Linked DNA regions of Caenorhabditis elegans. The protein of the gene in region 4 purifies or fractionates together with the protein of the main gene of each other region. This does not show direct contact. Each region holds a gene or a part of one and is shown on either strand. Other genes may lie near its edges.

What was found.
Region 1: the proteins of F09B12.3 (region 4) and alh-1 fractionate together in Caenorhabditis elegans (co-fractionation; one large-scale study listed by BioGRID). This does not show direct contact.
Region 2: the proteins of F09B12.3 (region 4) and gta-1 fractionate together in Caenorhabditis elegans (co-fractionation; one large-scale study listed by BioGRID). This does not show direct contact.
Region 3: the proteins of F09B12.3 (region 4) and got-2.2 fractionate together in Caenorhabditis elegans (co-fractionation; one large-scale study listed by BioGRID). This does not show direct contact.

Annotation. Positions count from the first base shown.
Region 1 is NC_003281.10:5,074,865-5,082,928, reverse strand, and holds alh-1 (Aldehyde dehydrogenase domain-containing protein), read right to left. Parts: upstream 5,165-8,064; 5' UTR 5,164-5,164; coding exon 5,071-5,163; intron 4,359-5,070; coding exon 4,230-4,358; exon of another isoform or gene 4,183-4,229; coding exon 3,986-4,182; intron 3,645-3,985; coding exon 3,367-3,644; intron 3,321-3,366; coding exon 2,574-3,320; intron 2,513-2,573; coding exon 2,424-2,512; 3' UTR 2,268-2,423; downstream 1-2,267. Other genes in the region: cox-6A (Cytochrome c oxidase subunit 6A, mitochondrial), read right to left, coding at 72-170, 840-991, 1,059-1,194; Inactive tau-tubulin kinase ttbk-6, read right to left, coding at 6,961-7,071, 7,115-7,202, 7,249-7,568, 7,614-7,961.
Region 2 is NC_003282.8:10,178,058-10,186,432, forward strand, and holds gta-1 (putative 4-aminobutyrate aminotransferase, mitochondrial), read left to right. Parts: upstream 1-2,602; 5' UTR 2,603-2,610; coding exon 2,611-2,650; intron 2,651-3,106; coding exon 3,107-3,216; intron 3,217-3,900; coding exon 3,901-3,970; intron 3,971-4,012; coding exon 4,013-4,110; intron 4,111-4,434; coding exon 4,435-4,773; intron 4,774-4,820; coding exon 4,821-5,483; intron 5,484-5,568; coding exon 5,569-5,700; 3' UTR 5,701-5,882; downstream 5,883-8,375. Other genes in the region: mspn-1 (Mitochondrial sorting homolog), read left to right, coding at 1-47, 91-211, 257-431, 486-927, 1,729-1,884; ptrg-1 (Tyrosine-protein phosphatase 4), read right to left, coding at 5,893-5,952, 6,003-6,136, 6,327-6,795, 6,847-6,993, 7,046-7,181, 7,232-7,512, 7,556-7,690, 7,810-8,081 and 1 more.
Region 3 is NC_003284.9:6,239,177-6,245,940, reverse strand, and holds got-2.2 (Aspartate aminotransferase), read right to left. Parts: upstream 4,959-6,764; 5' UTR 4,938-4,958; coding exon 4,682-4,937; intron 4,632-4,681; coding exon 4,083-4,631; intron 3,865-4,082; coding exon 3,425-3,864; 3' UTR 3,232-3,424; downstream 1-3,231.
Region 4 is NC_003284.9:15,092,929-15,100,595, forward strand, and holds F09B12.3 (Putative phospholipase B-like 2), read right to left. Parts: upstream 5,027-7,667; coding exon 4,924-5,026; intron 4,854-4,923; coding exon 4,737-4,853; intron 4,689-4,736; coding exon 4,628-4,688; intron 4,309-4,627; coding exon 3,764-4,308; intron 3,715-3,763; coding exon 3,620-3,714; intron 3,576-3,619; coding exon 3,319-3,575; intron 3,276-3,318; coding exon 2,891-3,275; intron 2,847-2,890; coding exon 2,748-2,846; intron 2,592-2,747; coding exon 2,505-2,591; 3' UTR 2,415-2,504; downstream 1-2,414. Other genes in the region: Serine/threonine-protein kinase flr-4, read left to right, coding at 261-447; F09B12.7 (Movement protein), read right to left, coding at 735-806, 862-938, 2,006-2,021; dhhc-1 (Palmitoyltransferase), read right to left, coding at 5,260-5,424, 5,913-6,198, 6,435-6,510, 6,567-6,619, 6,694-6,917, 7,394-7,477. UniProt on the Caenorhabditis elegans protein: Putative phospholipase.

The DNA.
Region 1 (8,064 bases), on a different chromosome or scaffold from region 4:
TAAACAACTCGAAGCACACACACAAATGGATGACGTTAAATATGATGATTAATTGTATCGTCCAGCATTGTTTAGTGCTTCTCACGGTCAGCCTCGAATCCAACTCCTGGAACAAATTGCTCCGCCTTGTTGTGGAACAATGAGTGATTTCCATCGGACCATGGGAATGGCTGAAATTGAATATTTATTAGGAATGCATTTTCAGAATGGATTGATTGATTTTCAAGAAAAAAATGTTGGCGATTCTAAATTGCAAAAAAGTAGGAAAGTTTTTGCTAAAATCTTTAATTTTGTCAACTTTTCTGTGTTGCAAACGTCGGAAATGAGTATTTATTTTATTATCATCCTTTTTTCATGTTTTGGTTGTTAATTTTACGTTATTCCGTCGATTTAGGTCAATTTTAGTCTGATAGACCAAAACAATAATTCAATAAAACTGTATTCCAGCAGCTGCAACTAGAACATGTTGGCTAAATTGGAGATTTAGCTAAAATTTTTCTTACTCTTTTTTTGAAATTTTTAACCATCTTGGGAATTTATTGAGACCAATCGTTTTTTTTAATTACTGAGAAAACGCCAAATTATAAAATTGTATAATCATTTAAAAGCTTGATTGTAGAAATTAAAATTCCAAAAAAGCGACTGTTTTTTTTTTAATTCGTTTTGAATATTATTAAACTTCACAGTCATCCTTTTTAGTTTGAAAAATGCCAGAAAGATGACATTTTTAAACAGTTTGCCGATAACTTCTTTAATGAGGAAGACATGAAAGCTAAATAACATTTTTTAAGTAAAATTTTAAACTATGGCAGATTTCAAGATAAAAACGAATATTTTACCTTGTTGCGAACGTTCAAGAAGGCGTACTCGACGTGCTCTGGGCGTTCGTGGCTCATGTGTTTTTTGTGATCCTTGAAGGCGGCATACATGGTAAGAGCCAAGCATGGAATCGAAGCAATGAAGAAGATTTTCTTCCAGGTCTCGCTAGCATCTGAAAAATATATTTTAATCTTTGAACATCAAAATAGAAACTATTTATTTTAAAAAAAAACACTTACTGTGAGCTTGCTTGAGTGGAGTGACATATGACTCTTTGAATCCTTCGACATTGTTGGATCCGTAAAATGATCCTGAGGATTTGCGTTGGAAGGTCTTGACGACCGAGCGGGTAGCTGGTTGAGCGAGACGGTTCATGTCGGATACCTTTAAAATTTGAAATGAAGTTGAGATTTGTGAGAAAAACGGAACGCGGGGGGAGAAGGAGGGGGAACAAACTTGTTTACGTGAAAATTGAGAAAAAAAGAGAAAAATCAGGTGATTTGATGAAAAAGTACAAAATTGTGATTTTTAAATCAGAAAAAGCAATAAAACAAACTCACAAAATAAAAACAAATGAGGTTTTTCTTACGTCTTAAGAAACCTAATAATTGCTATGAAGAATTTTAGAAATTTAAACCCGACAATAATGATTGAATGACATGGTTGAACACTTGCAGATTTGAATTCGAAAAAGTGGAATTTCTAGTCGAACAATATCGATTTACGGCTGCGGTTTATATGCTATTGTGGTTAAAAAATTCATAATTTGTAATTTAATCATTTGAAACTCAAAAATAATCAATAAAAGCACTGTTTGTGAAGTAAAACCACAGAAACGCACGTTTCCTCAAGAGAAAATAACGGAGAGGCCGTCTTCGCTGCGAGACCAGCCGGTGAAATGGCGTGCGCCTTTAAGGTGTGTGAAATAATTGTGCTGCAACATGCTGTCTAATTTGCCTATTATCTCCGTTAGAAATGCTTCAAATTTTCTGAAACTTTGTTACCTGTTAAAACATGACATGTAGAACGAACACATAAAAAATTATTAATATCGATTCATTGGCTAAAAAGTTATTGACGGAAATAAGTATCAAGTTTTGGTTCGATTCTTGCCCTTTTTGAGTTGCTTGACGGAGAATTGCGGAACCCACGAGATGTCTGCCGCCTTGCAGGTGGCCACTATATAAGCAACAACTGGTCCTGGCTGTCTCGTTCTTCCGAGAACATATACTAAAATTGGAACAATACAGAGAAGATTAGCATGGCCCCTGCGCAAGGATGACACGCAAATTCGTGAAGCGTTCCAAATTTTTTTTAAAATTTCGCGTAACCTACCGGAAGCTCGTAAAATTTTTGCCTTTTGAAGATTTTACGACTGATCCTCTAATGTACAGAGTAATAATTCGTTTGTCCTGAATCAATCAATTCACAAAGAAGTCGAGACTTTTATGAGTCGTCCTGTAGGTGTCTATTTCTTTCAGAATTCTTTTTCAATATATGTGAAAAATAGATAAATACAACACGTATATTAAGAGCAATAAACATTTTTCAAAAAAAAAAGCAAAAGGAACAAAAATTACAGGGAAAGCGAAAATTCAAGAAATTTATGAGTTCTTCTGTGGAACCTTGATGGTGACAGTCTTTACTTCAGTGTATGCCTCAAGACCATATTCTCCGAGTTCGCGACCGATTCCTAAAAGAAAAAGTATTTTTTAACTTTGGCATGGAGAAATTTTAATAATAAATTAGCTTACCGGACTGCTTGAATCCTCCGAATGGAGCAGCAGCATCGAACACATCGTAACAATTAACCCAGACAGATCCAGCTCTGGTTGCGTTGGCAATATGAAGTGCCTTATCAATATCCTTAGTCATAACTCCAGCAGCCAATCCATAAATAGTGTTATTAGCCTTTTCAACTAATTCTTCCATTGTGTCGAATCTAATGATAGTCATAACAGGTCCAAAGATTTCTTCTTGAGCAATAGTCATCTGATCCTTAACATTAGCGAAGATAGTTGGCTTCACAAAGTGTCCTTGATCTCCGTGTTTGGCTCCTCCAGTCACCAATTGAGCTCCATCCTTCTTTCCAGCAGCGATATATTTTAAAATAGTCTCAACCTGCTTTCCGTCAACTTGTGGTCCTTGAGTAGTTTTCAAATCAAATGGATCTCCGATAACAGCCTTCTCGGCCAATTCCTTGGAACGAGCTACGAAATCATCATAGATCTTTCCTTCGACAAATGTTCTGGATCCGGCACAACAGCACTGTCCTTGATTGAAGAAGAGTCCGTGGTTGGCTTGATGAACGGAATCATTGAGATCAGCGTCAGCGAAAATGATGTTTGGTGATTTTCCTCCGAGTTCCAAAGTGACCTTCTTGACATTCGATTCTGCAGCAGCCTTCATAACAAGTCTTCCAACTTCAGTTGATCCAGTAAAAGCGACTTTGTCAACATCCATGTGCGACGAAATAGCTTGTCCGGCAGTATGTCCGTATCCTGGAATTTATTTATTTGAGAAACTCACAATTTTTACAAAACTGACCTGGAATGATATTAACCACTCCATCTGGGAATCCAGCTTCTTTTGTGAGAGCAGCCACGTGAAGGGCTGAAAGTGGAGTCTGTTCGGCGACCTTCATAACGACTGTGTTTCCCATAGCCAACGCTGGTCCAAGTTTCCAAGCTTGCATAAGAAGTGGGAAGTTCCATGGAATAATCTGTCCGCAGACTCCCACCGGTTCGTGACGAGTGTAAGTGAAGTAGTCACCCTCGATTGGAATAGTCTTTCCGTGATTCTTGTCAGCCCATCCGGCGTAATAACTGTAATAAAGTTATTTTTTAATGTTAGCCATTTTTCCTTTTTTTACAATAAATTTTAATTTTTCTCATCAATACAAACAAAATTTGATTCAAAAAATTGCATTTTTTGGCTGTTAATTTTCTAAACAGTTTTTTTTGATTTACGGTTGTCCGGACAATCAAAAATTTTTGTTTTTCGATTTTTTTCTCTCATAAAATTGAGAATTCGAAATTATTTTTGTAGATCTCTTTGCTCATTTGGCAGTAAAGTTTTTCGTTTTTTCTGAGTTTTCTTCTTAATTACAGACTATTTTGGGATTTTTTTACAGCAAAATTCTCCAATTTATGCTATTCGAACTCACCGAAGAGTCTTGATAGAAAGTGGCAGATCAGCATTGTAAGCAACTGCATATGGCTTTCCATTATCCAAAGATTCCAAAGATGCCAAAATAACTCGATCTCTCTCCATTAAATCAGCTAGTCTATTCAGAAGAACTCCACGTTGAGAAGCATCCATTCGTCTCCACTCACTGCCGATACGGAATGCATTTTGAGCAGCCTAGAAAAGTTTGAAGATTGCTTTAAAATTCGAATTTAGATTTAAACCTTGACAGCGATATTGACATCTGTTTTATCTCCTTCTGCGACTTGAGCCAAAACTTTTCCGTTGGCTGGATTGATAGTCTCAAAAGTCTTTCCAGACTTGGCTGGCACAAATTCATTGTTGATGAAGATCTGGAAATTTAGATATAAACTTTTTTGAAATTTGAATCCCTGATTTGGAGAAGTATCACATTTCGTCCTAATTCTGCCCTCTAAGTTTATTTTCTCAAATCCGATCATCGTTCAGTTTTGATTGCCCTATCTCACTGTTGACCGAGTTCATTGTTCATTTCGTTCTCCACCTCAGGCGACCACGTTTTCCCTATGAGATAGTATCAGCTCTCTTCTTTTTCTTTTTATTATCATCATTTTAAATTGATCGTACTCTGTGTACTAGGTACACAACAGAGCACAACGTTGAGGGCACGTGGTTCCGTTGAAATAATGTAATGAAAACATGAGAAGAGAACATTTTTGCAGCAGAAAAACAGATCAAAAGGTTCAAATTCATCTTTTTGGTTTCTGTTGCAGTTTCTGATAACGGCGGTTTCAAAGCGCACGTAATGTGATGTTCTTGTAACTTTGAATTTCGCGGAAAATACGGATTTTTGAGAAAAACCAATAAGATTCGATGCACAATTTCCACTTTTGTTTTCTTTTTCTTTAAACACAAATTACTTGAAAATCAACGTTTTTAGAAATTGGCGATCCAATGGGCTCCGTAATTTTTTCTTTCAAAATTCAAATTAGAGTCTCTCTCAACATTGTCTCCATTTTCAAGGTTATCCTGTGTGATTCCTATCTTTTTTGCAATTTTTTTAAAACAACGTTCTGAGAAACTTACGCCGGTGTATTGTGGTTTCATGTTGGAAAGACCTGGTGGAACACCGGAGGCATTTCGTGCCTGAACTGTTGCCCGGAGAGCTGAACGGAGCATTCTGAAAATAAAAATTATAAAGGATTTACCCGAATAAGGCAAGATTTTAAAGAAATTAGAAAGAGGACGCAAAATAAAAATTTACAGGTGAATGAGGTTAGATATTGTGAGTTCACAGCAGCTCGTTTCTTCATAGAACATTTTAAATTTTAATTAAATAGAAAATAAACTAGTTCCAGTGGTAATTCGGAAACATCGAATCAGTATATCTAAAAACTGTGGCAAAAAGTGAATATCAGTATTGCAGAGACTTCTGACAAAATTATTCAAAATCGATTAACTAATCTTCTTCCAAAAATTCAACTCTAAACAAAATAGAGAAAACTAAAGATTAGATATGAAAAGAATGGACAAACACGCCAGCCTCGATGGTTAGGGTCGAAATAGATAAGAGAACACTGAGCGATGGTTGAAAAGTGACAGAGGAGGAGTCAAAAAGGCGGAGATGCAGAGAACTGCACACACAAATATACTTCAACGAAACATCTTCGAAAACAAAAAGATGAAGAAGCACGTGCTCGAATAGAACCAGCACAAAATAATGAGAATTTTTTGGAGTCCTGAAGAATAGTCAAGTATTGCACAACATGATTTAACCCTTGACCATTTAATATTTCCATGTCGAGATGGGATCTTTGGAAATGATGATAAATGAAAAACTTTGGAAAGATTGAACGACAGAGACAGGAATAGTTTCAGCAGAAATCAACTACAAAATTAAGAATTATCAAATATAAACAGAGTGGTTAACAACAAGATTCATCGTTAGTCCTGCCTAAAACCAGCAGAAAATAAACAAACGTGCAAGCATTTCAGCTGAGATTTGTTTTTATTGACAGATATAACTTAATTCTGAGAGGAAACGCGATCTTAATTCAAACGGAAGATAAACATTCAGGAAAATATTCTCAAACTGCGAGAAAATCCGAAAAAAAGAGCTAAAAATGTTTTTAAAATAGAAAGAAACTTCGAAACTGGCGCGGTGCCCTTGCTCAACAGAGCGCGCTTGGTGGCGAGACACTACGAACCTTTAGAAACTCTACTCCAGAGAAAGCAGTTACAAAGTCAACACTTGGCTTAATGAAGTAACAAGAAAAAAAGGACGAATGTAACGAAAATCTGAAGTTTTTTTTATCATATCAATTAGGCTTCGGGCTTCAAGAAAAAAATCGTCAGCCGTGGGAATCTTTTGAGAAAATGAAAGCATTCAAGTTTCTCTGCACATGTTTGAAAAATGTCATACAGTTGAATAAAAAAGCATTTCAGCATTTCACAAGCATGAGAAGCACGGGTCGCTTGAAGATTATTGTTTGAAAGTAATGATAATATGTCATAGGTCACAATTTGTATAGGCCACAATATGTCTTAGGTCATAATGGAACATGATTCATAAATGTTAAATAACAGTTGAAAAGAAAGGACTGTAGGATAGAATATTAAATTTTGTTTTCCATAAGAGACTATTGGAGCTGTAAACAAAATTAATGTTAAACTTTAACCAACAATTTCGAAGGTTCATGTTGTCAACAATGAAACCAGATGAATCTTGAAGTGAACAAATGTGTTAATTCTTCCAGTTAAACTTAGAATCCGAAAGATCTATGTTCGTTTTTTTTTTTGAAATCTGCCAAAAGATATTGGACGCCAGAACTTCATTAGCTCTAAGATGATGAACTATTAGGAGGAGCCAACTGTAGTTGAGGATTCATAGTTTTTGTTAATTTAGCAAAACAAAATCATTTTCTAGTCCTTTATTCAAATCTCATATATCTCTAGTTTTCAAGCTTCTTCCCACTTTTAAAGAACAAAATCCACTTCGGCTGGAGTAGGTGGGCCGTTGATTTCAAGAGGATTGGATTGGAAGTAGCGTCCGTCTGGATTCTCCCAAGCTGCAGGTGGAACAGACATCTGGAAGAATGAATTATTCTGAGAACTCAAAGGAAATTCTTACATCAGGCTCCTCATTTTCCCAGTCGAACTTTGAACTTGGAGTGATCTTCTCGTTCTCCATGACTTGCCAGAAACACTTGAAGATCATGCTGAAATTTAAATCGTATAAATGGATAGGAAATATAGAAAACTCACTGATCATCCGGTCTTTGGTAGTAATTGAGGGAAGCCAAATGAGGCATCAATTTATCCATACAAGCTGGCATATCAGACATGACATCCTTTGGCGTCAAGTTCAGCTTCATTTGCTCCACACGTCCGCGTCGATAATCGGTTTGCCATGGGAGTGCCTTTCCGCCGTTGAGCTCAATGATGACGTAGGGCAGTGACCATACATCGTCAACTCGTCCTTGCTCTTTACGGAGATGGACATTCGGAGACGCGTAACGAAAACTCCCACGAAACTCTGCAGAATGACGAGCTATACGTACAATCCATTTATTCTCTCGGGCATGCTGAAATTATTTGTAAATACTATGAAGTTTTAATGCTTAACTTACATAACGAGCGAAAGGTCTTCCAAGACCAAAATCCAAGATGTGAATGATTTTTGCTCTTTCACTATCCTTCTCATTTCCCAAAAATAAGTTTTGTGTATTCACATTACGATGGATGAATCCATTGTAGTGCACATATTTCAATGCATAAACCCATTGAATTCCAACACGGCTCCATGTTCCACGTGAAAATCCTTTGTTCACAACAAAATTCGTTGATTCCAGGTCTTGGAGATTTCTCCCCAATAACGTCATGACCATATAGGAGAAATTCATCTTTTTTCCATATAAGTTTAAGTTTGGGATGTGCGGAGCTGGTCCGTTGGCATTCAGCTTCTTCAGGACATGATCCTGAAATTTTCAGATACGTTTCTTGCTCAGCTGATACGTAGTCGTCTTAAGATAAGGATTTGGCCATATCTTACGCGCAAAGGTTGAGACAACGAGTTACTGC
Region 2 (8,375 bases), on a different chromosome or scaffold from region 4:
AGTACTTGGATCCAAATTATAGTGTGAATGAAGAAAGCAAAAAGAAGGTTTGTAGATTTACAACACTAATTTTGTTTTTTTAATATACAGGTGGCACAGCTGTTTCATGAACTTGGTATCGATCGTCAAATAGAACTCTCAGAGCACGAAATTAGAATCGCCACGCAGTTTGTTGGCGGAGAAGACGTTGGAGCAGATTGGGATGAGATCGGTAGAACAGAAAATTGTTTCGCAAAAAAAAAGAAAAATTTTACAGGTGGCTGCGAAGAACTTGTTGCTGAACTAAAGGATCGCATTATTTTACCCTTGAGATTCGCATCGCAAAGTGGAAGTCATTTATTGTCTCCTCCACGTGGAATTCTTCTTTATGGACCACCCGGATGTGGAAAAACTCTTTTAGCGAAAGCAGTTGCAAGGGCAGCTGGATGCCGGTTAGTTATTCATAAATGCAGAATTGACCTGTTTTAAATATTGCTACCTTTCAGATTTATCAATCTTCAAGTGTCAAACCTAACTGATAAATGGTACGGAGAGTCTCAAAAACTTGCGGCCGCTGTTTTCTCTGTTGCTCAAAAGTTTCAACCAACAATTATTTTCATTGATGAAATTGATTCGTTCCTCCGAGACAGACAATCTCATGATCACGAATCAACAGCAATGATGAAGGCACAATTCATGACATTATGGGATGGATTTTCTAGTTCTGGAGATCAAATCATTGTTATGGGAGCTACAAATCGTCCACGAGACGTTGATGCTGCTATTCTACGCAGAATGACTGCAAGATTCCAAGTTCCAGTACCAAATGCCAAGCAAAGAAGTCAGATTCTTAATGTGATTCTCAGGAATGAAAAGATCAATAATACTGTAAATCTCGGAGAAATCGCACAGGCAGCAGAAGGTCTTAGTGGAAGTGATTTGAAAGAGGTTCGTGCTTTTTTTCTTTTTAAAATTTTAATCAAATATATTACATCCCCGAAATGGTCGTAATATTATTAGTTCGCTTTGTGGCTATATATGTCACATATATTCTAGTGGAATTCGGTAACGAAATATTTAATATAAATCTGTTCAACATGAAAAATTGTAGACAATAATATATCTTGGATTTCCTATAAAATCCAATACATTTTTAACATGAATTAATAGTGAAACAGCAAATAAGTATATGTGTTTTTATTGAAAACTACGAAAACTCGATTAAACTTTTGCAACAACGAGAGTTTGAAATTACAGTACTCTTTAAAGGTACACACCTTTTCATAGTTAACATAAAATTTCGTGTCGAGAATATTTGGGGCAGAAATCGCAAAGTTTTGCGAGCTTCATGAGAATAAATTGCTGTTTCACAATTAATTCATGTTTCTAATGTGAAAAATGCATTGGATTTTAAAGGAAAAATGTAATTTGTAATATGATAAAATGTAATATAATTGTCTACAGTAACCTTAAAGGAAAAAAAAATACAAATAAAAACATTAGTGAAGAGAATTGTATATATTTAATACAAGTTGTTCTAATAGTGAGCTTGAAAAAACTTACAATTTTGAATTTAATTTTAAAAAAACTCATTTAAATTATTTCAACTTCTTCCAAAATCATCTAAAAATATTTAGAAGTTAGATACACAATAATTAGCTTAAAAAATAATACGCGTTCGAAAATTTTAAGTTTTTATGTTACAGGAAAATGAAACGCCAATAATCGTGTTGTTATGTAATTTTTCAGGTTTGTCGTCTTGCTCTTCTCGCTCGAGCAAAAGCTACTGTAGCTTCTGGAGGTTCCGTAAATCAACTTCTTCCATTGGAACAGTCCGATTTTGAGTCAGCAGTGCATAAATATATGAGAGCCGCACATTTACTTGTTGAAGAAACACTTGATTAGTCTTAAAAGTTCAAGAAACGAATGTTTTATTTCATGTAAACTTCTATTTCTTTTTCTCTAAAAGTAGTCCATTCGTTCTTGTAGGTCTCAATTTATTATACCTTTTTGTAGTATAAAGCTAAAGAAATGTAACGGTGCTTTGACTTAAAATCGAAAATCTTTTTTTTTATTCCCCGGAGCTTCTAGAACAGATTCAAAAACTAATATTTCTGATTCCTGATTTTTTACTTCCCTATTCTTATGTATTGCATTGATTTAATAAGTACGTTTAGATTACCGGTTAGATTGTATTCTCTTTTTCTCTTTTCTTTCACTTGTCGATATCTCCAGAATCTGAAGAAACAATAAATCGATCACGTGACCCCATCTCTTTGTGTCAGTTGTCCTTCCGATTACACCCTTCGTGCTCTGCGAGCCTTTTTCTTTGCACAACGTGGAGCAAGTTTACACCATTCACAGGCTCAATATAAACGTCTTCCATTGGCTTCCAATTTTTCAGTTTACTTCTTCAAACAATTTTCACTAGAAAACGCATTTATTTCCTTCACTAAAAAACATAAGCTCCTCCCCCTGCCTTTCTCTGCGTCTCGTTTGACGCCTAAAAAGAGAAAACGGGAGAAAAAATTATTCGGTTTTCTCCTGCCACTTCAAATTTTACTCTTCTTTCTCTTTGTTTTTTTCAAATCGATTTTCGAATAATTTGAATAGTTTTTTTCAGAAGGAAGAATGCTTCCCAGACTGGCAAAGTCATCTTTAATCCAACAGGGTAAACCAATTAATATATTTTGGATTCAACTGGGATTTATTTAGGAAATAATTTAACATATAATTTTTGATTTTGAAAAACCTAACCTGCAGCTTTTTAGTTCTTCTAGATACATTCATTTTCAACCCTTTTTACTTGCATCTTTGACCTAAAACACATTGAAAAAGAAACAAACAACACTTTTTTGATTCTCTTATCAGTTTATCAGTATCACAAACATTAACGAAGGCAATTGATTTTTCTCGAGTAAAACCGAATAGGGAAAAGATCAGAAAAACTGAACGATAAAATCGAAGTTTTGGTAAATTGGCAGGTATTTTGATATTCACCACATGTTTCAATTTGGAAGATTAAAAAAACAAAATTTTCTGAAATTTTAAAAAAATACTAAAACACTTCAACACCATGAGAATGTTTCCAAAAAATGCTCTGACTCAATTGAAACGTTTATTTTAGTGCGTGGAGTTTCGGCGATTGCAAATGCCGAGCCATCTGGACCTAGTATTTCAACGAGCATTCCTGGACCAAAGTCAAAGGCGTTGAAACAGGAAATGGATAAAGTTCATGTAAGAATTGAGATATCGAAAGTTAAATGGTTTTTTTAAACATCATGGACCTTAAAATACCTTCAAATTGTGATAACTTATTTTTTATATCTATTCTAAATCTTATACGCTCATTATGTATTGGTTTTAGTTTTTGACAATTATTCAGTGGCGAAATCGCTTGAAATTACTTTTCAAACAAAAACTTTGGCTGAACTTTCTGACAACTTGCTCAACAGAAGCTCAACATTGTCAATTTGATTCTAAATTATTAAGAATTATAAGATAGATAAATTATAATTTTAGATTACAAAACATTATTAGCTATTTAATGGTCACACAATTGCGAAGAATTTCGAGCCATTCAGTTCAATTTTCAAATCAAAAACCAACATCTCAACTCCGTAATTACATGAACATCACATTCTTACCCTTATCACAGAACGAATGAAATTCGTCTCAGAAATATTACACTTTCTCTGGTCAACTGACAACTGACATTCAGGAGTTTTGATTATTTGATTTTAGTTTTTTTAATTTCAAATCTTCAATTTCATTGATAATACAAAAAATAAAATAATATTTCAAGGAAATTTAAATTTTATACATATTGTCAAAAATACTGTAGTTATGAAACATATGAATCATTCCAAATGCAATATGAGATTTCAAAATTTTATAAAAATTAAAAAAATTTTTTTTCAGCAAACTACATCCGTTCGTTTCCATGTCGACTACGAGAAATCATTCGGAAATTACGTTGTAGATGCTGATGGTTAGTTTTTATTTTCAGTTTACACACCAGGATTTAATTTAGGAAATGCACTTCTCGATGTCTATACTCAAATATCATCTCTTCCTTTGGGATACAATCATCCAGATTTGGTTAAGGTCGCTTCGCAGCCACATTTGATTGTGAGTTTTTATAAATTGATTTCAAAATCAATTTTTGAACCTCTTACAATCAATTGGAGCATTCGAACTTAGCCTTCCATGTACGCATGAAAATGTTTTACGCCGCATCCGCATTCAGGCACAAATACAGAAATTAGGCGGTAGGCAGTCAGGCAGGCAGGAGGAAGGCACATAATGACCATATTTTCACATTAACCGTACACCTAGAAACCAGTAAAAAATTAAATATTAAGTGATTTGCCTGTCTGTAATATTTGGATAAAACTAAAGAAAACAAGATACTTACTGAAAAGTTGAGAAATGTATTAGAAAATAAATTTTCAGACATCTCTTGTTTCTCGTCCAGCTCTTGGATCCTTCCCACGTACCGACTTTGCTGATGGAATTTCTCATGCTCTTACATCAATTGCTCCAAAAGGATTGAAGGCAGTTCAAACAATGCTTTGCGGTACATCGGCCAACGAGAATGCAATCAAAACTGCATTTATCTGGTATCAAGCTCAGAGAAGAGGAGGTCTTGGACCAGATGCTCTTCATTTGGAAAGCTGCATGAATCAACAGAAACCAGGAACTCCAAATCTTTCAGTTATGGGATTTGAAGGAGCTTTCCATGGAAGATCTTTGTGCATGTTGTCGGTTACCAGAAGTAAGCCAATTCATAAGGTATTTCAAAGTTTTATTTCGAAACAATTCTAATTAATTATTTTCAGGTTGATATTCCAGCATTTGACTGGCCAATTGCCAAGTTCCCCCGTTATAAGTATCCACTTGACCAGAATGTTGCATACAATAAGAAGCAAGATCAGGAGTGTCTTGCTGACGTTGAAGCGAAGATTTCCGAATGGAAACGTCGTGATAATGATGTAGCTGCAATTATTGTTGAACCAATTCAAGCAGAAGGTGGAGATCATTATGGAAGTCCAGCATTCTTCCAAGGCCTCCGTGATATTACTTCTAAACATGGAATTGTATTCATTGTTGATGAAGTTCAAACTGGAGGTGGAGCAACTGGAGATATCTGGGCTCATGATCACTGGAACTTGAGCTCTCCACCAGATATGGTCACATTCTCAAAGAAACTTTTGACAGGAGGATACTTCTACGGAGAACATCTCCGAGTTAAGGAGGCTTACCGTATTTACAACACATGGATGGGAGATCCGACCAAGCTTCTTCTTTTGGAAAAGGCTGTTGAGGTTATTAAGAGAGATGGATTGATTGAGCAGAGCAGAGAAGTTGGAGCTGAATTCCAAAAGAGACTTGGAGAACTTCAAGCATCGTCTGGAGGAAAGTTGGATCAAGCCAGAGGAAGAGGAACTTTTGCCGCCGTTGACTTCCCATCTGGATCTTTGAGAGACAAATTTGTTGACTTGGTAAGCAGAATTAATAGTGATAAATGTCAAATTCAGCCATCTTACATTTATATATTAAATTTCTTAAACTTCAATTTAATTTTAGGCCATCAGCAACGGACTTCACTGTGGAGGATGTGGAGACCGTTCACTTCGTTTCCGTCCATCACTCGTCTACACCAAAAAACATTTGGATCTGACTTTCGATCTTCTCGACAAGACTTTGAAGGGATTGTAATCATTTTTTCTTTTGTTTTCTCTTTAAAGCTGTATCCATTTTATTTGCTTCGCTGACCATCTAGCTTGTTATTATTTCAAAATATAATTAATAAATTAAATATTCATTTATAATGACACCGGAAATTGATTTTTTATTGTTTCTTCTCGGGAAGTTATACTTCGGATCGATTCCAATTGAATTTATAAATTTTTAGACACGTGTTCCTCCGACTAGCTGTGACATCTTTTCATAGATTATCTCGATTTCTTGCTGAAAACAAAATAATTTGGTATTGGAAAATGAGATAATTCGATTTTCACCTTCGAGGCAAAAATACCACACTGAATTTCGGTATACGATGAAAGAACCTGTACCACGTCAACACAACCCGTTGTCTCCAGTTGACACGCTAAAGTTGTGGCTGCACAAATACTGAATGCAAGTGCTGTATCATCTGAATATTCATCAATTTTGTTATAAATATAATATAATTAAAGTTTAAAGTATTTACAGATCATAGTATGTACGTTTCTACGCACACTACCATTTTTAAACTAGAACCAAAGGGGTTTTTATAAACTCCAAATTTGTGTTACAAAATTTTTTTGAACCAAAAATATTGATAGATATCAAGCTATACTCACCATTAAACAAAATAGAAAGTGATAATGTAGAAGTACTATCTGTTGGTGATGGAACACTTGGTGGGTATTTATGAGCCAGAATAAGCAATGGAGCATCATGATAAGTGATCCTCTGTTTTTGAACATTTTCAATTTCCCTCCAAAAATCAGTATCCAAATCTGCTCTTGACACATTCACAATTCGAACACACAGTTGTTGATCATCTTTTTGGAGCAGGACAAAGTTATCTCCGTGTTGAAGTTGAATTTCACCATCGTATATACAACTGGGAAGTTTTCTCCAAAACGAGTCTCGTTGGTTTAGAATCACAATTGTTTGAACTTTTTGTTGCCATGTTAATCTCCAAAGATCTTCACATTCATTACCCCATGATCCGACCATGAATTCATCAGATCTATGGTATCCTGGGAGTGTTATGACGTCTGATTCAATTAGACATCGAGGTTGATGTTTGCAATCACAGATATCCTTGAATAAATACTAAAGTTGAGAGGAGTTAGAAAAATATCTAATACAAACCTCAAATTGCAACTGCATTCTTGTTTTTCCGTTCAAATTTTCTTCGGATAAGTAATGCAGGTATCTCATAAAAAGGTCTGAATGAACTCGTGTGATTCCGTGACGAATCAATTGCCGGATAGCTTCGTGGCAGAAAATATATTGCTCCTGAAATCAGAAGTTTTGATACTAAGATTTCAAAGAAAGTAGATATTCTTACCAAAGTCTGCACCAATTTCGCTCTTTGTCTTCTCATATGTGTCAAATGTCCTTGAACATTGAGTCTTCGGAAACTAATCAAATGCCTTCTCATGCTATCAACAAGGATATATGAACCAGATCTACCAACTCCGGCGCTGAAAATATAAAATTAAAACTAAAATTCTCGGATTTCAGAATAACATACCTGCAATGAACTACAACGGGTCCGGTGGAATGAATATCGGAAGTGTAATGAACAAAGCTTAAAAGTGGGAAAACAGACGAAGGAACTCCATGATCCGGCCATCCCATAAAGTGAAGCTGATGGACTTTCCGTTCAACAGCTGGCACTGCTTTTGCAATTTTCAAATCCAATATTCGATGAGAAAAGTGGGCATTTGTAGATTCTGATACCAAAGTGACCTGATAATTTCCAAAAGTTTGCGGAGAATCCTGTTGTGATGGCCAGTATTGATCGCATTTTCTCTGAAATTTGAGATGTTTAAAAGTCAAAATTTATATAAGTTACCTTTCCATCTTCAACCATATTTGTGATGCATACAATAATATTGCTCCGTTCTTGCCAAATCATACTCCAGAAATCGGAAAATGTGGATGGAAGTGGAGCTTGTGTTGCGATGTAGGCATTACGTTCATTGCATGACTGGAATAATTAACTTGAAAGTTTTTGACTGAAAATGAAGTTTCAAAGGAATTTGGAAATACTCGAAGACAAAGTTTTCTTGCTTTTTGCAAACGAACTTTTTTATTTCAAAAACTTACATCAACATAGTTGGCATTGATATAATCATTTCCAGTTGGAGAATTGAGACGTATCCTGGTCGCTTCTATGGCCCCAATATTATTGTACCTATTCTTCTGTGAATTCTCATCAGAAGAGGAATTCGACTCTCCAGAATCCACTGAATCTATTCCAGATGTTTGAGATTCGAGAATTTGAAACTGTGTTTTGAACTTTAATGAATCGTTTCTATTGAGATCTTCGACGTATCCATAGAACAATTCAACCGGTATATCTTCTTGACCAGCGGAATCTGAATTTAATTCCATGGGTTTTTTTAGAAGTATTAAAATTTCCGGCTTACCGTAAACTAAAGGACTAATTTCTTCTAAATAGACACACTTTTCCTTCTTCTTCAGAAGATGCTTGAAGTTCATAGATCCACGTGCAAAATGTACAATCACAAAACAAATGAATGCAAAAATAATGATTGCAAAGATCACGATGAGGACAGAAATGTATCGTGGATTTCCAGCTGATGATGTCAATTTTGCACATTTTTCACCCGGGGAGCAGAATGAGCTCTGATATGAACATTTATCTGAAA
Region 3 (6,764 bases), 8.9 Mb from region 4:
TTCATTTGGTTTTTTTGTTCGAAAAGAAAACACAAAACACTGCATCAGACAGAAAGTCAACCAACTAATAACATGTTTAAATAAATTTTCGAACATGAATTCTCAGAATGTAAGTATACATTTTTATTATCAACAGATTTCAATCATTATCTGAATAGAAAAACATATAATCAACCGATGAGAAACTTGGCGACCACTCCCACGCAATGACTCACTCAATAAGTGTTGACTTTTCAGGCTGGCTCACGTGTTTTAATGAGAAAAACCTTTGTGGGTTGCAGCAAAGAACAGGTGAATATTTTCGGAAATGAGGGATTATTAAAAAACTTAAACAAACTTAATTTATTCCTTCTTGAATAAAATAATTTGAAGTCGGATTGAAATGAAAAAGGGATTAGAAAGCTTTACATTCCATATGAAAATTTTATTTTTTATGTCTTTTTTTCATTTTTAATGAGATATTTGAAACTAAATGTAACAAAGGTTGGTTATCATTGGTGGAAAAATGAATACAAACGACATAAAAAGACAATGTAAATGTATCTAGCCCAAAATGTATGCAATATTTTATTAAGTTTTATGAGCGGAATATGAGTATTTTACGGTCATAAAAGTAGATGAAAATGATTCTGAAATAACTCTCCAACTTATGCTATAATTAATTAAGGAATAAAATGTATTGTATCAATTTGCTACTTTGATAGCTAAAATTGACACAATATGCTTCTGTTCGAAAGTTTTTGGAAGATTCAGCAATACGAAGTCTGTAAAAACATTTCAAATTAATTTTAAACTACTTTGTTAATTTACAAATTTTCCCACATCGTTATTCGGGATGATGTACCAATTGAAAAATTGAGTACTTGAAACCTTCGACTAAATTTTGTAGTAATCTTTATAGATATTTTGATTTCAATTTTTTGTATGATCTATACATTTTCCATACTCTATTATTTTTTTAACAGTTTTCCAGTTGAGACTTAAGTCTTTCTAAGTTCTTTCAAAATGGGAAAACTAGTTGAGCATCTTTGGTAACGCCGAACTATTGCTATTTTTTTAAAAGTTATTAGTTCAGATACATAATTTCGAAACACCATGATTCATTTCCAGTGCTGTACAAATTGAAAATGCGTCAGAACTGTGTACAAAAATAGGGACTCATACAGAAAAATGTATCTATAATTTGAATCATATCTATTCCGGGCTTGCAATGGATCTCCGATGTACTATACAATTCAGAAATTATGAGATCTATTTTCGGAAAGTGTTGATTTCATAATTTGTACAGCAGCCTGTTGATTATTATTTTGCCGGTTTTTCGTTTTTGCTTCATAAACCGACAATGGAAAAACCGAGCCACAATGTGTGCACACAGCTCCAAACGATTGATGTGTGTGTCGTCAAAAAACATGAGTCAATGAGCCGAGCAGTAAATAAGTGAAGCTGCTCAAATAACTGTACATCACTTTCGTAATCCTGAATTCAATTGAATTGATGATTTACGCTTGGATATTTGGTACACGTCAGATAACAAATTTTGCAGAAAAAAAAACTCCCATTGTTCTATGAGACAATATGGGGGATTTTGAATTTCAAACGGGACTGCAGTTTCTGTAAAGAAAAAGAAAACAAAGGAGCAGCAATTCGCATCAAAAACAAACAAACTGACCAACGGTGAAAAATACTCTCGATTTACAAAAATAGGGGATCGGTTGAAGAACGTTTTAAATTGAAGTATAGTTATTCAAATCTGGTAGATCACCCATGCTCACCCATGAATTATTTATGAAAAATCATTAGTTCGGTTATTATTATGCTCATTATTGTAAAACTGCATAAACGACCAAAGTTGATGCTTCCAAAAAAATACAAGTGAATGTTCAGGTAATTGTGAGCACAGTTTGCACGAGTGATTTGTAAATTATCAACACGTTTTCTTTAATATCGTCATCGGAAACAAGATAGTATTATAAAAATCATTCATGGTAATTTTTATTTTCACACGGCAGGCTGGGTGTTGTTCAACTGAATATGTCTAAACATGGCAATGAACTTGTTTTCGTCAAGTTGTGTCTTCAAGCTTATCTCTCAAATATAAATCCCCAATACCGCCTGAGATGTTCATAGTCTTAGAACATCAAACTCAGGTTTTAATGTATATGCCTCAAGCTTCAGGCTGCAGTCTAAAGTTTTACAGTCTTGATAGACCAGCGTAATTTTTGCCCATTCGGAAATGTTTCACCGAAGCCTTTTTGGGACTTTTGAATGCAGCAAGAACTGGAGGAATCAAATAGAATCAAACAGATTTTCTTGTTACTGAGGGAACCTGTTTTCTCAAATTATGCTTTTTGTTTTTTTTTTTTTTAATTTAATTATGCAGCCCAAGCTGCTTGGCGTCATCGGTAGAGGCCCGCCATTGGATGGTTGTCGGCTTGATTCGGCGGCCGATATAGATGCGCTCATTAACAACTTCGAGTTGAGATATAATGGAGGATCCATTAACGTAGGAAGTACTGGACTCTGAAAATTCATTGCGCGAGGCTTGCCCATTTTCTCAGCTTATCCCACTTATCGTCTTGAAATCTACTGGAACCAATTTCGTATATATTATTTGAGCAGTTGACTGGAAGTAAGTTGTTGATTTGCGACGAGCTAAATACCATCTGAAAATTCACGGCTAGTTTGAGTTCTGTCCAGGTATGATTTTGTAATCTTTGGTTTCAGTTTTTATAAGGCATTTTGAAAACAAGCTGAAATAATTTTTGAAAAAAAAATAGATTTTCTAACCAATTTATTTTGACCCATGACCGTGACTTGAATTTGCAGAATTAAATACCAGAACTCTACGCCCATGTTTCAGAAAACCACACCGATGCGTTTATCTGAAGTCGAAAAGTTTCTGAAAATTTTGTTAAATAATTATGTATTTAACTCTCTAATGTATTTAACATAATTTGATTTTATAAAAATACTTTGTCTTTTTCCTCGAAAATCTTATGGTTTCAGAGAACTCAAAATATGTGCGTGTTATACCATTCATTGTAAGCACACTTCCAACTAAATAAATTTAAATTTGAAAGTGATATTAATTTTTTTTAATTTTTCGTTTTCAGAAAACTGACAATTATATTTCTTTCAAAACAGTTAGAAACACAACGTTTCAGAATCGAATAATTGAATTAACGTAATTGCTAAACAAATATCGTGCATATCATTTTTCAATAACCAACTCCAGTAAAGATTAAGGTCGAAACCCAATTTATTAAAAGTTCCCATTCTCAGAAAAAAAACAGGCTACAAATAAAAATGAGATAAAGCATACTGCCATTCTACAACCGGAGAATAAGAAAACCGAAAACGAGAAAATTATTCTATTATGACAGATAGAATAAGTTAAAATGGGAAGAGTGCATTTGTCACTGATTTACTTGGTGACTTGGTGGAGAGCGTGGGCAAGGTAAGCGACATTGTTCGATGAAATTCCCGCCACCGAGATACGTCCGTCCTTGGTGAGGTAGACAGAGTGTTCCTTGATAAGCTTCTCAACTTGTTGTGGGTTGATTCCAGTAAAGCAGAACATTCCAATTTGGTTGGTAATGTGCTCCCAATTACGAGTAGATCCCTCCTTGGCGAGCAAATCCTTGAGCGTAGTTCTCATGGTGATGATACGATCAGCCATGAGCTTGACATCTCCGAGCCATTGCTTGTTGAGAGCTGGATCCGCGAGGATGCGGGAAGCAATGCGAGCTCCATGGACTGGTGGGTTGGAGTAGAGTGGGCGAATAAGGATCTTGACTTGAGAAGCAACACGAGCAGCCTCATCAGCGTCCGAGGTAACAACGGAGAAAGCACCGACTCGTTCACCTTAAACAGAATAAATTATAAAAATTATGCAGTATTCAGGGTTAGGGCTACAAAAGGGTAGAAAAGATAGGATAATGCGACACCAGTGATATCCGCGTTATCATGGCCTAACTTCCAACACCAAGAAGAAACTGCGCTCTATTGCACAAAAACAATACATTTCGTATTGAACTCCAGCTTGTAAAATTCAAATTTAACAAATTAGTATGTAAACTCACCATAAAGTCCCATGTTCTTGGCAAAGGATTGAGAGAGAACAATGTTGTGTCCTTGCTCGACAAAGTAACGAACAGCGAACGCGTCATTGTCAACATCTCCGGAAGCGAAACCTTGGTAAGCCATATCGAAGAAGACAAACAAGTTGCGTTTCTTCACAATGTCGGAGATCTTCTTCCACTGGTCACGGGATGGATCAACTCCAGTTGGGTTGTGAGCACAAGCGTGAAGCAAGATTGTGGATCCTTCCGGGATTTGAGCAATGTCAGCGAGTGCTCCAGTTTCATCAAAACCACAGGTGGACTTGTCATAATAGCGGTATTGCTTGACATCGACTCCGGCAAATTTGAAGATTGGAACATGGTTTCCCCAAGTTGGTGTTGGCTGGTAGATAACCTTGGTCTTGGCGTACTTAGAAAGGAACTCAGATCCGATTCTAAGGGCTCCAGTTCCAGAAATGCTCTGAGTGGTGAAGATTCTCTTGTTCTTGATCACATCAGAGTTCTCTCCAAGAGCGAGTTGAGCAGAGAGCTTGGTGAACTCGGGAAGTCCTGCAAACAAATAAAGAGTTCAAATGGATCAATAAGTTTATAACACTCACCAACAATTCCGGCGTACTCCTTATCAAGATTGGCAGCGATCACTTGACGTTCAGCTTCCTTGACCGATGGGAGAACAAATGGCTTTCCTTGATCGTCACGGTAAGCTCCGACTCCAAGGTTGATCTTCTTTGGGTTTGAATCGGCTTTGAAGGCCTCGGTGACTCCAAGAATCGCATCTGGTGGTCCCATCTCAACATGCGACCACCACGACTTTCCTCGCACGGCGGTAGAGAAAAGCTTCTTGGAAACGCTCATTGTTGATTGGAGAAAGATTACCTGAATATTCAATATTAATGTTTCGAGTGGGAACTTAAAAGACGTTTTGAAAGTAGGCGTGGAAATCACGTTCCGATTAGAATGAAGCAACGAAACATTGATAGCAGGGAAGACTAGAGTACGTACAACGCATGATTCCTTATCCGAAGAAACAAAAATAAAATAAAACGTGGGTATCATTATCTTTACCAGGACAATTATTTGAGTGTTCAATGGTGTTTGAATGGGCTGATTGGACACTTTTTTTAAATTCAAAAAAGATACCCTAGGACACTCCATTCAGGGTACTAACCACATTTCTAGCCTTTAGCAACGGCGTGGCATCAAACTAGGCTAAAATTGTAGTTAAACTTATTGACTCTATCAAAAACAACTGATGTGAAACAACAAAATGGACCGACTGCACCGCCTATGAAAGAATGGACGCGTCTGCTCATCTTATCCCAGTCCACGAACTGGCAAGGAAGACGACAAGTGAGAAGAACTGGAGAAACTAGGTTAGAGAGTACGGAGATTCGAGAGAGTGTAGGGTGGCAGAGGAAAACTCGGGCGGCCGCGGCAACGTGAGAAACATGCGGTTCGACGATTCAGTCGTTTTTGTGTAACTCGGCGCTCGAGAACTGGTAAACAGTAAGTAAACTGCGTTCGAAAAAAAATATAAGAAAATCGCCGTACTTCGGTCGTGAAATTATTTGTTTAAATAATATAATTTTTTAAACTTTTCTATTAGCAGCACCGTGTTCGCAAAAAAAAATCTCAAAGAATTTTTGATGAACGGAAAAAAAGCGACTAATGACTGTAAAAAGGCAAGGAAAAACTGAGGCCAACAAGATAAATGAAAAAAAATTTGGTTGTTGTTGTGGTTCGTCACTCTCAAAGGTTCGATATTGTCCGCGCGCGGCCGGAGAACACAGGTTGGTAGGTCAAAAGTGCTGGTGGCACACGGATATTGGAAGTCTTAAAATTCAAGATGGTGTCTTACTTCAAAAATTGAATTTGGGATAGCAAAAAAAAATAAATTTAAAGTACAGAAAAAATATAAAACATAGAAAAAAGTTAATGAAAAATGGTTTTTATATTAACGTTTGGACGTTTGGAAAACCGCTCAAAATTGTGTGAAGAATTTCGGATATATTCTGGAAAGGAATCCACCAAAGTGTTGGAGTTTTTTCCCGTCATTTTCAAAGATTAGGACAATTTTTGAGTTTTTTTTTCGATTGTTCCAAATAAAAGGAAAATGATTTTCAGATAAAGCAACCAGTTTTCTATAATCTTTAACTAAGGTATAATTTTTATTTTTTGTTGAATTGCTTGTCGGAAATTATAGCGCATCCACGGTCGATAAAATAAAATGTAAATTGTAAGATGGTTTAAAAAATTTTTCTAACATCTGGAAACAAAAACGTTTACAACTGAACTGCCTGTGAGTATAGTGTTATCATTTTGGATTACCTCTTGTGAGCAAACTTCAATACATTCAATTCTGATAAACAAAACCTAGCACACGTCACACTAACCTGTAGTGTTCAGATAGAGTTTTTTGAAAATTACTTTTAGATTGTCGCCCGAATTTTGTGTAATTCACTTTGTGTTACAAATTTACAAATTGTTCAACATTTGTGTGACTTTCACGTGGACATCCGTAAACATTTTGAGTCCTTTGTTTCTCTCAATTTTTCTCTCGATTTGAGTGCAAAATGATTTTTGCGATAAATATGAAAGAAACTCCAAATTTTGCCTAGCCTAGAGAAAAGGATCTATTGTCTCCGGGAGGTTTCGTATCGCGGAATCGAGACCGGCCTAGAA
Region 4 (7,667 bases):
GGCTTTACCCACACCTCATTTATAGTGCGGCGCGGAACCCCGAACGTGTCGGCCGCTTTCAGACAACTACGTTGCGCATTTCGCTGCACACACACACAGGACTTAAGCGCGCGGCTAAAGGCCGTCATGAGGCCCGCATTTTCCGCCTCACTTAGCTAAGAGACCTAGTTTTACCAAGGTTAAAAAAGTTGACAATTCATACTTAAAGAGTTTTTGCAATCGGCAAAATTATGGTTCTTTGTCGATTTTCTCGATTACAGATTCTACTTACCCCGCCCCCAAAAGTCAGCAGTCCTATGCGGCATAACTGTGATAACTGGTAAAGAAGATGCCAAAGACACTGCTCAGAACATGGAGGAAGAAATACATCTAACACCCTCTGTCAGAAGGAACCATGATGATTATTACTACGACGAGTCGTCTGGACCAGCAAATGAAGAAAACTAGGAAAATATTAAACTAATTTAATGATGCAAAACATTGCTAGATCACGATTCTACATAATTTCACTTCAGGAACTTCCATGTTTTTCACAAAAATCATCATTTTTTCCATGTCACCTTATTCCAATATATTTATGTATCGATATGAATTCACTCAAACTCTGATTCTCGTTTTTTGTACAACAAGTTCTCAGAAATGAAACTTCTTTATTACAATGTTAAAATTTAAAAAAAATCATAAAACAATTACTCAAGAATTATATACCCGTTGAAACCTCCCGACTCGTCTGATCATCTTTCACTGATAGTGACGCTATTGTACATCAAGTAAATGACGTAACCTCCAAATGCGACTCCGACAAGCTGAACAATTAGTTGAAACGATAAAAGAAGACGCATGTTGTGCTTTGGTACTTACCGCTAAAAGTAATACAAAAATCCGTTCTTCTAAATTTCGAAGACCAACAGTTCGTTTTTCAGTGTCCACGTCATAACCTGAAACTAGTTCTGACTATTTAAAATTTAATTAATAAATACTAAAAAAATCAATTAGTGGCTTCATTTCAAACTTGAAAGTTAAAAAATGGAATTGTGGATAACCACAAATGTGATCAATTTAAAAAATTTTATATTTAATTTTATTCATCTAGAATAGTTCTCCCATTACTGCAGGCAACACTAATTTCCGGGCTCTTTTCAAATCCAGTACTAGCAGAGACGGCAGCACTAATTTTTAGAAAATATTTCAAAGGTAGGATACCGAAATTTGAGACTTGCTTTTTTTAGACCCAAAATGGTCCAAAACTACCAAATTTCGTAATGAGACGTTCTGAAAATTTCTCAAAAAAGTTTTGCCCGCTTAAAATTTTGTCTCAAACTTCGGTACTCCACCTTTAAGGTGCGACACGATAGAGACTATACTAGTAAGTCCAAACAAGATCTTTTTTAATAAAGAAGAATTTTTGTTGCCTTTTTTTAAATTTCAATTCGACACAAATTACGATTTTTACTCTTTCGCGTAAAAGATCACTTACGATTAATCTGATCAAAGGCAAATAAATCTCAATCTAACCACTTGTTAAATAATCAAATAGCATCAAATATCAAACTGTGTATGTTTAGTATTGTTGAATTTGAAACAAATGCTCCGAAAATCAAACTATAAAAAATTTTGTTCTGACAAATTTGTTCTGTGAGCAAAAAAATTTAAAACCACGTTTGAGCCTTAAAAGTGTAGAAAAAAAGTTGCAAAAAATGATGAAACTATTTTTGTAAAATGAAATGGTTTTTTGAACAAAAGGAATATATTTGGATGGGTCACGCAAAAAACGCGAAGCACATTTTAATTTTCAAATGCGGAGTACGACGACGTAAAAAACGACGAATAAAACTGTTTCTACGGTGTTAAAAATATAAAATATCATAATATATCATTTCAAAACTTTTTGAAACCTTTTACTATGATGTTTGGCCATTTTAGCGGTACTCCAATTTTGATATTTTTATAGTCACTAAACGGAAAAAATTAACATAATTTGTTTATCTTCACGTTTACGACTTACCAGAAGGTCTATTCATTATTAACAAACTATAGAACAAAAGTGCAGGTGCTACCTTAGTTCTGTGTAGAATACGAAACCAAAATGATAGCCAGTCGCTTTATTTTAAGAGGGGCGGAGAAGGATCTCCCAGAGTCGAATGAATCAAATGTCAATATGGACAACCTGCGTATCTCGGTTTGTGATGACTTGTCTCTCTTCACTACCGTACTTGTTGGCAACTAACATGACATCTAAAGAGTCGGCAGAGTCTGAGCAAGAAGAGGGAGAGCACAAACAAATATGACAAGAAAAAAACGTCTGTCCTATATTGAGCAGTCTTTCAAATGAGTATTCGCGCGTTCTGACTCGTCGTGGGCGGAATTCCAGTGAATCGGTTTCGGTTTTGATCGGAATGTCACGTATTTGAATTAGAACAAACAATACTTTAGTAACAACTATGTGAAAAATGAAGGCAAATGAGAGTTAATTCATCAATTAATGTAAGAGTGATATGACGATTTTAAGCATTGATTTCAGTTTCCCATTTGTGCACCAATGTGTTGAACTTCCATTCGTCTGGGTGTCCGACGTGGTTGACCTTGTCTTTCTGGAAAAAAAACCATTACAGAAACGTCATTTCTGACAAAAAAAAACAAAAACAGCTCTTAGGATTGTTTGCACCATTTGTTTGCAAAAATGTGGTGGCCAAACATCTTGATGATTATTGAATCTTGATGCAATACTTAAAACTCTCAAAACTTACAAAGTCAAACTCAGACCACTTGAAAGATGGAACCTTGCCCCATGTTGGCCCTCCTTGTGCGACAAATTGCAACTTCTTCATCAACTCAACATTTGTACCCTATAAAATACGAATTGCCTTCGACATTTTCCAACACTGTATACCTTGTAATCAAGAGCTCCGTGGTTAACGTGTCCTTGTCCTGGGAACTCGTATGTTCCATTAGCTGGATTCAAATCTCCACGAGCAGAAATGCCAGCTTCAGCAGAGTATGGTGGGTTGCACTTGCACTTGGAGAATTCATCATTCTTATAGTCGTTGTATCTCATGAGAGCAGTGAGCGAATCCAAGTCGTGAACATTGCCATGATCTCTTTCAAAGATCTTTGCTCTGGGAGATGCTCCCCATTTGAACCAGTCTCCCATCTTAGCGGCTTGTCCGATAAATCCGGAAATTTCAGTGATCTCCTTGAAGAATGGAATGTTGTAGGACGGGAAATACGAGTACTTCTCGACGAACCAGGTCAGATCGGAGTAAACAATCTTTCCACTGAAAATATACTGTTCAGTGTTATTGTTTCCGGTACACTTACGGCATTTGTTCCAAGACGTAGAAAAGTCCATTCTTTGGAAGTGGCTGATTTGGCTTGAACTTCTTGTAGTCAAGAACTGCCCATTGGTTATTGTAGGTTCCGGAGTTGTACAAAGAGTAGAGTTTGCACCATTCTCTAGCGTCACGAGCAAGTTGGTTGGAGACAATAGCTCGGATCCATGTTGGAAGTTGGCCGACTGGCTTTGTATTCTCGAAAAGAGAAGTGTTGAAGACACTGATAGTGGTTTCGATGACAGCCTGAAATGGGGTGATAAGAATTGCAAATTTTGATGTAAACATGCCAATCCAGAAGTTTGAAGTGCAAAGTCGTCTGATGAGTACAAAAGACCTGGGTACGAGGAGAAGGATGAAGCGTATCCTGGGTAGAACTGACGGTCTGAAAAATCAATTTTTTTTCTTGTTTGAAAAAACCTTCTTCTACAAACCATATCCAAACTTGTAAAGCTTAATAACTCTGAGCATATTTTGGAATCCTGACATTGTTACTTGAGAGATGAAAAGATCTGCATTTCCTGGAGCGACCTTGATCAATCCGGAGCACTTTCCACCGGTTTGCTCAAAAGCTGGATCTCTGGTCTTGTTCAATTTCTTCTCCAAATCATAGAAATCTCCGTTCAAGTTCAAATAGAGAATCGGGTGAAGCTCGTAGGTAATTCTTGGCTTGAACTCGCGTCCTTCATAGGCATCAATAAGTCCAGAAACTTGGTGGTAGGTTCTGTTGACAGCTCCCCAGTAGAGATCATCCGGGGCGACGGTCTCCAAACTGCTTTGAATCCATTTTTGGTTCTCAGTGAGGAAGTCTGAGAGTCTGGAACAATATCCAGTGAAGTTCTTGCAATAATCTTCCTGAGCATTCTTGAGATGGTAGGTGAGCACTGTCTTGGAAAGTAGTCCTTCAAGATATCCAGCAGAGTAGGCTTGAAGTTGTGGGCAGTAGTTCTCCTTGGTTTCGACTTCCAGGAAAGTCCAGCTAGAAATTGAGAAGGTTAAGTTGGAAAACTCATTAGTACTAAAGTTTTAAATATTTGAAAAATGAAAATCTATTCAGATTATGTATATTTATGCCATTAATTTTGTTTATAATTTTGTGAAGACCATTTAGTTTAAAATTAAATTTTAAAAATATTTAAAACTTTATCGCATATCAGTCCCTCTCCCCTAATGAAGCAAGTTCTATACAAATACCCAAAAAGAAATTACTGATAAGATCTTGGTTAGATAGCTGACAATTTTTCTGATCACTGGTCTCCTCTTCAAACAATCTACACTTTAGACTTGTTCAAACTGACCCAGTTGTGTTCACAGCGTTTTGCCATCTGGCGACAGCAACTTGGTTGCGGCAGTCGAATCCTGTCAAATTATACCAACTAAATAGAAAATCCTCAGTATAAAACTTACCATCAAGAACTTGAGGCTTATCGTCCACTATGCAAAGTTGCTTGTAAGTGTAGCTCTCATCGCGTCCTTCCGAGCTTTGAGAAGCTACAACAGTGGCTAGCAGTAAGCCAATAAACACTGAAATATTAAAAGTTAATAATTAGAAATTTTAAAATTTTAAAATTTAAATAATTAATTTAGGACTTACCATTCATCTCGAATGTGCTGTGGAGCAAACTGCCGAGGTAGTAGAATACCGAGTGTAAGCTTCTTATCAAAAATTGTTTCTTACTTCTTATCAGTCTTGTCATCTTTCTCTATGTTTCATTAATATGCTCTTATCATTTTGATTTTAGATTGGCGATCGGCGTCGAAAAATTGAGGAGACCTGGACAAGAATTTAACAAAATCATAGGCTGAAAAAAACTTTTAAACTTTTATTCAAATCAATTTCAAAGCACTTTCTTTTTGGACTTGTAGTAGGAAGGAGAACGGGAGAAAGATGGAGCACACGTGGTTAAATTCGAGTTGAGAATTGTGAAATTTAGAGATCTTTGGTATGAAGATTGAACATCTCGCGAGTGACAAAGCCGAGTCCATCAGTTGGCAGAGGACTTGGGATGAAGCAAGAAATGGCAATGAATGGCCACCGGGAGCCGAGCGATTGGTGGAGGTTTTCAAGGAGTCCGAGCTGGTATGCGTGAACGTCCTGAAAATTGGATTTATATTTGTTTGAGATTTTATGTTGCAGTTAAGGTGACTTCCTCACAGACCAAACGGAAGTCTTCTAGGCAGAAAGATATCGAAAAAATTTTTGTATTGGAAGAAAAGAAAAATGTTATGCGACATTCGAGATGCCGGCCGAATTTGATGTTTGAGCAAAATATTAAAAGCAGTAAAATCTAGATTCGATACATTCGAGCTAATGGGGTTATTCAAGTAATGTATCAAAATGTATTTAAATACATTTGTGACGTCACAAATGTATCTAAATACATGTTTTTAAAAAAGGTAAAAGGTGTATACTTGAATACAGTTGTGACGTAATTGTTCTACACTTTTTAATTTTCCGACATTACTTGAATAACCCCATAAAGTGAAACAGTATTACAAAAATCGTCACCATTTGATCTATTATTTTCTGCTATAATAATTTAAAACATTTAAAAATTATTTTCAATTGTACATATAGCTCACCATCAAAAACTCGATTCTTGTCTGTCCCTGATAAATGCAGAAAACTTGAGCAGTCAGCAGGTAAAAAGTGAACAGCGAAACGGTGAAGGTGAAGACAAATAGAAGGACGTGGAGGAATTGGTAGATTGAGATGTATCCGGCGATCCAGGCAAGATGGGGAATGACCACTTGCCAAATGTTTCCGAAGCCGATTTCGTTCGTCATTTTGATATTGAGAAGGCTCCATGAGTAGGAGACTAGTGGCAGAGTCATAATGAAGAGGTTGATGACTGCGGCGACAAAGTATCTGAATATTGTGAATAAACGTTTTAATTTGCAGTAATATTAATTATGTATACTGTTGGTCTAATATTATAGTATCGTGACTTTACTCAGCATCTCGCCATAATTTTCTGTCAAGCTTTGCTTTTGAAAGTGACAGAAAAGTGACTAATTGCGGTGGAAATTTTACAACTATTTTTATTTTTCATTATATAATTTAGAACATTCTTCAATTGCTAGTAAAATTCATATAAGACAAACCTCTGATTAAAATGCCCGACGCAAACTGCCCCGAACGAACAATGGTGGTCACGGCGAAGGATGCACACGTCACAAACTGAAAAAAAGTGTTTTTTTCGTCATTTGAAAAAAGTATATTTTCACTGTACTTACCTGGACAGTGATGAGCTCTTAGTGGAGACATGGAATGACAACTGTGGCAGTGTCTGAAATTTTCAAAATTGGCTTTTATTATTTATAAAATCTAGCTTAATACTTATATATAATAGTTAAAACTCACTTGTATCCGGGTTTGATGACATTTGGGAGAGCAGAATGATGTCCATTTGGGCCCGTCTTAATCATGTACACCCAGTTTGAATATAAGTTGAACACCAGTACACCAAAACACGTTGCACGAATGACCCATGCTTCTCCCATAACTGGATACCAGGTTGGAAGGACGTAGAGGAGATGGAGCAGGATTCCACACGGGAGAAGTATCAGAAAAATGAATGTGGCAATCTGTAATTTGGATAACTGATGAGTTTTAAAGCATTCTACGACAATACTCATCTTGGTTTTTTTTATTTCTATAAGCCTGGCTGAAAGTTACGAATTTGGGTACCGTGAATGGGATGATGAAGCTGGATTTGAAGTTTTTTTTGTGGAAATTCGAAATTGGTATTGCCAAAAAAAAAGTTTATTTCATGAACTTTATTCAACTTTTGGTTTTTGTAAAAAAACTCAATAACTTTATTACAGCTTTAGAAAATTGAGATGTTGAGCTGGCATTCAATTAATAAATAAAAAAATTTCAGAAAAAAGTTATTGTATTATATGTTCAGCGGAGCTTTTTTCTTCCTTAAATTGACTAATAAAAATTGAGCCTATTCTATAGTAATTGGTAATTTTTCTTACATTCTTTTTTTTTCCTAAGATTTAATTTCCATTCACCTTGCTCAACAATTATTTTTTACATATTTTAAAAAATAACTCACAATATCCTGAATTTGCGTTGGCATCATCCTTTGTAGCTTTTTGTTAAAATCGACATTCTCACCGTCGTCATATAACATCTGCATTTTTATTTTATTCTGAAAAATAGCAAAAATTAAATAAGGAGAAAATTTGAATGAAATGTAAAGTTGAAGTAAGAAGAAAGTGAGCAAAACGGAGGTGCTGATAAAACAAAAAGTGATTCACTTGTAGTGATGATTCAACAGTTCAAAATTGAAATCATCACTATAATTTCGAAATTTCAAGAATAAAAAA